Linked DNA regions of Tribolium castaneum. The protein of the gene in region 2 purifies or fractionates together with the protein of the main gene of each other region. This does not show direct contact. Links are inferred from orthologs where the notes say so. Each region holds a gene or a part of one and is shown on either strand. Other genes may lie near its edges.

Evidence for each region. The genes of interacting proteins can lie anywhere in the genome.
Region 1: the proteins of Vps50 (region 2) and Vps51 purify together in Homo sapiens (affinity purification with mass spectrometry; 7 studies listed by BioGRID and IntAct, counting the BioPlex papers as one, with this or other methods). This does not show direct contact. The link is inferred for Tribolium castaneum from reciprocal best matches to the Homo sapiens genes VPS50 and VPS51.

The regions. Positions count from the first base shown.
Region 1 is NC_087395.1:17,181,774-17,187,333, forward strand, and holds the start of Vps51 (vacuolar protein sorting-associated protein 51 homolog), read left to right. Parts: upstream 1-2,379; 5' UTR 2,380-2,484; coding exon 2,485-2,565; intron 2,566-2,611; coding exon 2,612-2,746; intron 2,747-2,790; coding exon 2,791-3,617; intron 3,618-5,560. Other genes in the region: Ttd14 (TRPL translocation defect protein 14), read right to left, coding at 1,616-1,653, 1,712-1,779, 1,828-1,885. UniProt on the Homo sapiens protein: Acts as a component of the GARP complex that is involved in retrograde transport from early and late endosomes to the trans-Golgi network (TGN).
Region 2 is NC_087401.1:9,938,237-9,943,599, forward strand, and holds the start of Vps50 (syndetin), read right to left. Parts: upstream 3,649-5,363; 5' UTR 3,474-3,648; coding exon 3,429-3,473; intron 3,386-3,428; coding exon 3,197-3,385; intron 3,148-3,196; coding exon 2,836-3,147; intron 2,790-2,835; coding exon 2,601-2,789; intron 2,554-2,600; coding exon 2,335-2,553; intron 679-2,334; coding exon 1-678. Other genes in the region: Gug (arginine-glutamic acid dipeptide repeats protein), read left to right, coding at 4,642-4,701.

The DNA of each region.
Region 1 (5,560 bases), on a different chromosome or scaffold from region 2:
AAGTGTTACAAATTTAATTAAAATTTGGAAAAGATAACATATCGAAACGTGTACTCAAAATAAAAGTGCCGAACTATTTTCGTTGTGATAAAAACGGACAATTTTAACAATTTAAAACAGCAATGAAAATTGTTGCTATGAATATAAAAATAACCGGAAAACAATGACATAATAAATTAGAATTTTGCAAAATGTTGTATGGAAAAGTTGCACCTAATACCTGATGAATTTTGTATCGCGTATTTCTGATACACCCTGTATTACAGCATTTATTGTGTTCGGCAAAAGTTTGGAACCAAGCTTTTTTGTCCAAGCTAATTAAAAACATCTGCAAAAATGATTACATTTTTAACCGACTTGATAATGCAACTATTTTTTTATAAAGTTACTGTTTCAGAAATTAATGCAACTCCTTAATTTTTTTTTTCCGCATCAGCAGTAATTTCCTTTTACTTACACTGAAGAAGTGTTAAAACTGCATTGTTAATTTTTGCAAACGTTGAAAATATGTAATCAATACATTGAGTTTCTCTTATTTGTGTTATTTTGAACAGTTTTTGCAACCTTTAAAAAACAAATTTTCTTGACTATTTACACAAAAATCACGTTTTTTTTTTAATTACAAACACCCAAAACTTTATTTTTTATATTTCATTATTCAATAAGCCATACGTTTTATTCAGTGGTCATTTGATTCATATCAAACATAATTAATCTCAAATACGTGGTTGAAAAATGCTGATACATTTTCACAGCGTTAAAAATAGCAATGCATTATTATACAGTCATTGCATGGAAATTCTTATGACTATTCTTATCTACACTGTTTGGTGTAGCTTTTAATAAACAATATTCCACCTGTGCTATAATAAAATTTTTCCGCACAAAACCTCCACATAAATTCAACACTTGATTTATGATTAACATTGTCTGATAACAAAACACACCACATCACGTGTTCGAGTATACATTTCCGCCAATTTACAACATTTAAAACAAATCACGTTTTATGTTTTAAATTGATGCCAATCACTATCCTTTGTGATAAGTGATGAGATAACACAAAATGGCTTTACATAATCCAACCTTCTACAATTTATCTACAATATTGGATGATACTGCAATGTTTTGGGTAAAAAACATAATATTTGTTTTGGAACAAAAGTGAGGTCACTGGCAAGACCATAACTATTTATTTCTAATACCTAATTAACTGTGATTAAATTCATTAACTTAAAAAATAATGAAACGATTAGAGATATTGTTGGCCACCCATTAGGCCATTAATTTTAGCTCAAGTGATAAATTTAAAAACCACGTGCTCCCTGATCAGGGCAGAGATCCAAAACACAGTTGGGTATTCAAGAATTACGACCAGACTTTCAGACTCCACTAGGCCCCTATTTCTTGTGCATTTTGCATTAATTTACAAATTCAAAATTGGTTGGTAACAGAGTTGCCAACAGAAACAGTTATTTCGGACCACTCCGTATAAAAACTATAAACGGTCTTTTTGTGGTAAAAGGCCGGGTGCCAAAACACAATTTTATTATTTTCTGGGCTAAATATGGGAATATGACTCAATAAAACATTGGAAAACGCTGATGACACCTACCTTAGTAGAACTGAGGCGGTCTCCGGTACCCTGAAGACCTGTGGGAGCAATAAATTGGGTTGCGTTTTGGTAATAAAAAGTGAAAATTGGCGTTACCTTCCATCCCATATTTTCGAAAAACGTGCTCAGCCTGGCTTGACCGGTCGTTTTTCCGCCACATGGTCCTGTACAAACCCAAAATAATCTCGTGGAGGATCACATGGTCGACTTACCTCCTGTTAGGACAACTCTGTAACAGGTTTTATCGTTGCCACTGGTCGTTTTATCCATATTTCCGGTGTTTTGACGAAACTTAGTTTTTCCAATTGAATTTTGCTAGTATTCGAGAAGGTGATTTTGTTGTGAAAGGTGAAGAATGAAAATCAAAATTTGTAAGCACTAAAAGAAATAAACCGGGTACATGATCAAATTTTACTGTATATTGATTTCATGATTTGTTATTTCGCGAAAGCGACAAAGGCTGACACGCGACACCGCACAGACGCGGGACTAAAGAAATGTGAGCGAATTTGAGTCTTAAATAAACATCGTCGCTGATAAAATTACATTTTGGGGAGGGAGTTTCGCCGCAGAGGGGTGGCCACACTGGAATCAATACACGTGGTTCCCGTGGCGCAAACTTCGAATCCCTCGCCCATTTACGCAAAAAAACGACGCATCCTAAGCACAATAACGCCAACACAATAATAATCAATCACTTTGTATCGAATTTTATTGTAAATGAGAATTTTTACTGATTTATGAACTGTTTCGAGCTTGTGCACACTCTGCCACTAGCACACCTGATCATCTGTTTTGACGTTTTGGTGACAACAATACAAAAAATGTTTTTTGAGTTCTTTTTCAATTAAGTGTTCAAAAACCCAAAAATGGCGGAGAAAAAGCCCAGCCCCTTGGACCTGAACAGTCCCAGCTTCAACCCCAACATGTATTTGGATAAATTATTCAAAGTAACAATAGCCCCTTTTTCACCCTTGAACTGACACCCTCTTGCAGGAGTCCAACTTGAAGCAAATAATGGACCACGAGAGCGAAATCGTCAAAGACACACAAACCTTGCATTCCGACATGCAAACCCTAGTTTACGAAAATTATAACAAATTTATTTCGGCTACAGACACCATAAAAAAGGTATTGGTGCGTTTTTCTTTCCGAAAAGTGAATTAGTGCCGTAGATGAAAGTCGATTTCAAAAAAATGGAAAACGAAATGGACCTCCTCGCCTCAAACATGTCGTCAATTACGTCGTTTTCCGACCAAATTAACTCGACTCTTCAGGACACAAGGAGCCAAATTAGTAAATTGTCGGGGGTGCACACGCTTTTGCAGCGCCTCCAGTTTTTATTCAAACTGCCAACAAGCTTGAAAACTCGAATGGAGGAAAAGCGATACATTGAGGCGGTTCAGGACTATTTGCACGCCCAGCGTGTCTTGGAACAGTACGGTAACTTGCCATCCTTGCAAGGCATCAAAACCGACTGTGAAACCATCCTTATTGAGCTCAAAAAAGAACTGAGGAAGCACTTCAGTAACCCTCAAGCCTCGGCCAAGGAACTGACCGAAAGTGTGGATTTGCTCCTGCAACTGAACGAGCCGGCCAAAGAGTTGTGTTCTGAATTTTTGATTTGTGCCGAAAAACGTCTCAGTGACCAACTAGTCATGCTGAAGGACCAAAGCGAGCAACGGGACATTTCCGAATTTATTGATTTGGGTTGTTCGGGATTTTTGAGCGATTTGTGTCTGGTTGTGGCTTCCTTTGACGACATGTTTATCAATCGCAACAATTTGGATAATATCGAAAATAGTGATATTTTCGAAAATTTTGCTGCAACTGAACTCAACAACTTTGTTAAACAAAACATGGCGAAGTATTTCGATTTGGTGCAAAATAAAGTCGATTTGGAGCAGGATGTTGGAGATACGGCTGTTTTAGTTCAAGCCTTGGACCGGTTTTATAAAAGGATTGAAAGTAACACACTGTGCAGGGATGTGGATTTTTCGGCGTAAGTGGATAATCGTTTTAATTATTTTTTTGTTGGTAATTTTAAGTCTTCTTTTTAATATCTGAATTCTAGATTATAAACACTATTTTAAAACACGTTTGCCATAGCAACGTGTTTTGAATAAAAATGTCTTAACAAAAAAAAATTAATAACATTTATACGAAAACGCTGAAAGTTCTCGGGTGTCTAGGTATACACTCGCATACACTCGTTGCATAACGAAATTTAAGCTTGTGTTTTCGCACTCGTATTATTAATAACTATTTTTTTATGTTTTTGAATACAGTACAAACTCGTTTTTAGTCATTTTAATTTTTAACCAATCAAAACAATACTACAAAGTGATTTTAAATGACTTCTATTTAATTAATTTTATGGAAGTTCATTTATAAGTTAGTATAATACATCACTTCATTACCTAAAATTATTTTCAAATCTACAGCGGTCTTGAGAAATCAATTAGGTACAATATAAACATTTTTTTTATGAAATATTTTTTATTTTACTGAACGTAGCTTTCAATATTGGTATTTTTCTATAGACTTTTACTGTAGATTCCGCTTAGTTTTTGAAATGTAATCTAATTTTTTTTTGTGAAAAGTACTACACAAAAAGTAAAAATACGAGCCCTAACAACTAAGGGCCGGTTTATAAAAAGCTTTGTTAAAAGTTAATTCGTCGCTAAAAGTTAACAACGCGAATGGACCAATTAAATTTGTTCAATTTGGTCACGTGATCAGTTAATCACGCATTTAATTGCAGATTAACTTAATGACGTTTCTATAAACCGACCCTAAATGTTTGAAAGAATACATTTTTGTAAAGGAAATGCATGTCAAGCTACTGAATGTTTAAATTTAAAAAGGCATATTTTTAACGAATCTGTAACAGAATTCAGGCGTTTTATTGTTCCAAATATGTTCTGTTTTGTTTTTTAAATCTTTCAATTACCACTAAGAAAGATTTCTAGGATAACTTATCATTTTGTGCCAAAAAGACACAATGATATTGAAATCAGGGCTAATAGCTGGTCAAGGCATAACATTAATGTAAGAATTACCAAATTATTAATTCAAAAGTTTTGTGGTGTGACAAGAAGCACCTTTTTTTTTAAATAAACATACCTTCGGGAACGTAATAATTTTTTTTAGAATCCCATGAAATTGAAGGTCAAATAATAATACAAAACTGGATAGTCATATGTTAAATTTTTTAGCTCCTTACATTGCCAAGCGAAGTGGGAAAATTTCATCGTTTAATTTTTTTTTCTAATAACTTATTTTCTAATAACAAAGTTCAGAAAACACTTTAGTATTTAGTATTTAGTGAATTTCATAAGTTTGAATCCATACAAATTATAAATAGTATTGTTGTAATAAAACCAGTTTGATAATAAATAAATAAAATGAATAAAAATAAAATAAAACTAAATAAAAATAAAACAAGATTTCGTCCAAACATTTAGTTATTAGGGCTCGTACTACAGAAATCAGGTTTTCACATTTTTAAAGAAAGTTCAAACTTAAAGCTGTACTACTTGTACACATAGTGCAATTAAGAACTTAAAAAATTACTGTAATAAGAAATAATAGTTGATTTTTTTAATATCTTTTTTGTAAACACTTATTAAATGTTTATGTTATTTATTAGAAAGACAATTTGAAAGTATTTTACGAGCAAAAATAAGTAATACGGCGTTTCCTTTAAGAATTTTAAGTTATTTAAACTTTTAAAACTTTAAACTTTTAAACTTAAAAGAGAGTTCTTCATGTTTTTATCATCTCAGCTGTAACTCTCCAAAAAATATTAAAGCACTAAGGTTCATACCTTCCTCTTTTAAGCTGAATCAGTTTCATTTGTTTAGATTTCTTAGTTTCGGCGTAATACATTTTTACAAAGTGTGTTCTTAAAGAAATGAAATTACATAATATAGATATTTCAAA
Region 2 (5,363 bases):
GTCATTTTCCCCTGCAAGAATATCCTCCTCGATTACAGTTTCATCAAGTCCTGAATCAAACGGAGTGCCACTTTCTGCATATCTCACAAAATAATTCCCAACAATACTACTTCCATCTTGCGAATGGTTCGACGAACAACAATCAGTCGAAGCCGTCGAATAAGCGCCACCTGTGGCCGGCGGACGCAACTTAAAATTCCTAAGAACCCCCCTTAAAGACTTAAACTCTTGCAATTGGAGGAGAGTAAAGGTGGGCTTAACGGGACAAATCTCCCACATTTCATTCTCGAGAAAGATTTTTAATTCCTCCAAACGCTGGATGTGGTAATTTTTGAAATAGTTGACGCTTTGTTTACGAATTGATTCTTGCAAATCGTCCGATTTGCTCAGACAAAATTCCTCGCCAACTTGGATCAAGCGGTGCACAACACCCAAAACTTGGACGAACTGGTCGAACTTATAAGAGGCCAAATCAGCGTTGAGGAGAAGCCCTGAGACTTTACGTTGCACGTCATCCCAGATTTTAGTCAAATTGTGGTCCAGTTTTTCCTTATTTAAATTTGTCTCTTGCTCTTGATTGTTATGCCAATTGATCAATTGGTGGTAACTTAGCACGATCTTGAACAAGACTTTGCACAAACTCACCAGACATGGAATAAAAACGTCGCTCCCAACACTCTAAAATTTAAAAAAAATTGGACAATTTTTTTATAAATCATGTCCAAATTAATTCTATTTTATAATAGTGGATAATAAAACATAAAAAACGTTAAAATAACACGTCAGGTTTTGTAGAAAACAAAATAAACTAATTTTATTATTCCATGCAAATTAAATATGTATACAGGGTGACCCAAATCTGCTCCCGTCGTCTGTAGATCAGCTATTAGTTAAGCTGGACTTTTAATATTTTGTAGACGTTATTTATACTCTAGGACGTATTTCAGGAAAATATTTTTTACTATATAGAGTGTCTCAAAAAAGTATGACGTCATAGTAATATTTTTTTAATGGCATGCTATTATTTCTTAGTGCTCATTAAAATGCCTTTTTAGCTTCTTACATGTCCCTAAAGTTTTTTTTAATCAATTCAGAGATTACTGTTAAAAAAAATTATAACAAAAAAAATTTGGTTTTACACCTTTAGTTTTAAAAATCAATAAAAAATAGAAACGGTGCTTTATTGATGTAATTATTACTACGTACGTCTTGAACAGGGTTTAACAGAATTATTAATTAATTTTGATTGATCTGAATTACTACAGTGTGTTTACAATTTATTTTCAAACTTTTTAAACTTTAGAGCCTCTTATTTTGCTTATTTCAAATGGCAACCTCTATTTATTTTTAAACCTTTCGATGGGGAATTAGAAAATGAACGTTTTTTCTTAATACAACACTAACGTAAATCCTAACACATTCGAAGTTATTTGCCAAAAACCTTAACCATGTTCAACTTCACACTTCAATAACTTACTGTTTTTTGTTAACCCAACATGTGTTCGCTATCCGCTATGATCCAATACTTATAGTCTTTGATTACGCAAATGTTATAACAAGACTTTTTTATCAAAAACAATTTTTTTTTCACTTTTACAACAAAAATAATTTATAATAATTTATAATCACGAAAAACTCTCTAATGTAAGAAATTGAAATAAACAGTACACACGCAGAACAGCTAAATAATTCATTGAATGAGGAATTACGAAAATTTCGTTACTGTTTTCGGCAAGTACGACATGTCGTCACCAGAGGGCGTCTAGTTAATTTTATTCCCGAATTGTGGCGCTTATTAAAAAGTTTTTCTTTTTATTTATCTTTTATTTGATTGCTAGAACATTCTGAAAGATTTTGGCAGTTTTGGTGCAACAAAAGGAACATTTAAATAATCTCTTGATTGAAAAATTACTAATATAGAAATGTTTCATTTGCTGAGCTATGTTACCTGTTAAAATTCACACACGTATTAACTGTTTCAAACGTCACATTTCACCGAATTATTTTTTTAAATAAGATTGAAAAAATAGTTATAAAGATCTTTCATTAGCTGTTATTTTATTCTTTTTTGAAGTGAATCAATAATTTATAACAGTTAATTTTGAGAGAAAATGGCGTTTCTATAGTTTTGAAACAGCTTATATTTCTGACACACCCTGTATTTTTATAGAAATATTTAATAATTTTGTTCAGACAGCTGACGAGATGGCCAATTTTTGAGTACATTTTCAGAATCTGCATAACAAACAATAAAAAGACACGTGGTAGACAATAAAAAAGAAATAATGTTCATCAATGTAATTAAGGGAAAAAAACTGAGATTAAATCACTCACTTGACAAAGCGTTTTGTACGGATTTTTCCCACTCGTCTCCGAACTTTCGATACTTTCGGCCGACGTTACGTACGAATGCACCACATTTAACGACGTATTGTAAATCGCAGTGATATAATGGACGTGCAAATTATCAATCATTGAAATTTCAGACTTATCCAATAAATGATAAGCAAGCAGTAATTTCTGATAGCGCTCACCATCAAAATGATAACACGTCTAAAACCCCTCAATTAGCATCTAACACTGGTTAAAACACCAAAAACCTGTGCCAAAACCCGGTCAAGTTGCCCATCCGTACTCTCCAAAGTTTCTTGCAATTTATAAGTTAGGGCGGCCACGCAGCTGAAATGTCGATACTTGGTGGCGATTTTGTGGCACTTTTTGAGTTCAATGATCGCCCCCGCGTAGTCCTCATCGCGTAAAAGCCCTTGCAATCGTTGGTCATAACACCGCTACAAACATAACCTCAAATGTCACTAGTGACATAACCTCACTTACGAGATATTTGATCATTTTGAGGTTGTTTAGCAGGTTTTGCGCAATTTTGCGTTTACGGTAGTTGGCGAGGAGCTCAAGGGAGGCGCGGAACTGATCCGCGGCCACTTTTAAGTGTCTCCGACTAGTTTTACACTCCTGAAGTGTGTCCTTAACTTGCTCCAAAATCTCTAAGACTTTATCGAACTCGGTGTTACAGCCACTTTGGTGCTCCAATATTAATTGGAGGACTTTCTTCGAGACCACTTGGTGTTGCTGTTTGAGGGTTTTGAAGTCGCGCTGGATCTGGTCACAGTCGAGCGTTTGGGGCAACTTCTACGAATTTTTTGATTATTTGAGAGGGCAAAAGAGGGTTCACACTCACCCCCAGTTCAAATCGGCAAATGTCAAAGTCGTCCCGGATGGAAAAATAGGCCGCTTCAATACTTTCCAAAATCTCCTGGTCTGAGGGCCTATTTGTCTCAGCAACTGTCTTACTATTAATTGATAGATTCTCCACTTGGGGGAAGTGATAATTGGCGTCGGAGAACCCCATCGACGGGATTTTAGGCCCCTGGAAGCGCTTTAAGGGGGCTCATACGAATCGTACCACTTACCTGTTTGTTGATCAGGCCCAGAATTTTGTGCTTCAAGTCGTCCATCCTAACACTATTAACCGTTATTGTGACGAACGAAATATTAATTATTTATTTATTTATTTACACATACTACTGACTTGTCATTTTGACAAGCGACAGGCCATCTGTTGAATTGACACTGAACAACGAGCAGGAACCTGTGCAATGCGTTAATTCCGGCAAATTTTGCGACAAAATTGTCACGTTCCTGGTGTAGTTTTTGCCCGAGAATTTTCTACTTAATGTGGTGTTAATTATAATTAAGGTGGGCCCAATTAGCGAAAATTTGGTGCAGATGTCGCCACTGGCGCCACTTGTGAATGAACAAATCAAGGAAGGCCAAGTTAAAATGGCTGCCTGAATCGATACCACTATTATCGGCTATTTCCAGTGCAATTTACCGTTTTCGGGGGGCTATAACCGTGCCCCGAGTGTGCAAACGGGTGTCTGTGGTGTCGCGCGCCCCAAATCAGTGTTAGTTTCACCCGTGGGGGCCAGCTCGCACCCTTCCTGTCGTCTTTTATTTATTATGTAGCGCCAGCTTTGAGGTAAGTAGCGAATTTCGTTTGTTTTTCCTGCATTCTTGATTTATTTCCTTTGGTCGCCTGGTGCGGAAATCGACGCCCGACGCTCATTTGTTTGCGGCGCTAATTATCCCGATTGACAAGTTAATTGTTATGTATACAAGTCCGGGGGTGGGGGGCGGATTAACGGGTTAATTTGTTAAATGATTGCGTGCGCGCGGGCCGATGACGGCCCTTTGACGGCCCGTTTTGCGGCGTCTTTGATCCGATCTAGTGAGCCGAGGCCGGATTTCCGCCGTTAATCGGCGTCCAACATCGATTGTCTTTTGTTTCCGCGTTGGAAGAAGTGTCGAAGGAGGATTTTATTACGCGACGTCGTTATAAACACAGTCGTTAAAATGTCATTTCTCTCGGCTAAATTGATCGTAAAACTATTGATTTTTCGGTTAATCGTGTCGTAAAAATGCTTATTTTCGTCAAGGACTCGAATAAATGACAATTTTTTTTTAATCGCGGTTGGCATGATTCAATCAATCGGGAGGGGAATTTGCGGATGGAGTGGGGAGGGGTGGGTGGAGCGTAGCAATGGGCGATCGAGGGGAGGTCGAAACGACAAGTGTTGGCTACAATTTGTGTTTTATTTCAGAAATGTAATTAATTGGTAAAAAATGGCAACAACTCAAGGAGAGATTAGGGTGGGTCCCGGCAACCAGGTAAAAGATATTTATGTACGTGAGACCGACAACACGGTAACAGCAAAATTTTTATTCGAAATTAGTGGTGCTATTCTCTAAGAAAACGCACGCTATAGTGCTATAACTCTTTAGGCTATAGACTATAAGGAAAAATAAAATTTTCTGTAGCTTAAATTCTATAACCTTAAGCGGCCTCCGAGAACTGTCAAATCAAAAAAATATGTGTTTTTACACTTTTTTTTACTTTAATTATACATATCTCAAAATCGACAACAATTTTCAACCGAAAACCAACTGGCCTCCAACTGGCAAATAAATTTAGAAAGCGGTATTTTCAAAAAAATCTCGTTCTCAAAGAAATTTTTCTAAAGGTTATTTTTTCCTTGCTATTGCTAGTATCGGTTTCAATTTTTGCATACATATTTACAATGATGTTGTGCATGAATGGTGTATTTTTTTTCGATCTGTGCAGTATCTTGCGTTTGGCACCCAAGTCTCGGATCAGCAGACTAAGAAAACGTATTCAATACTAAATAAAAAATGTGTAGTTTTGTGGGGAATTGATTTCTAATCATTTTGCTTTTTGTTTGGTACTGCGTAGTCTATTTTTTGAGATTTGTATAAAAGTATGAACACATTTTGACAGTTCTCGGGGACCGCCATAGTGTCTTTATAAAGTTATAGTAAAAAAAGTG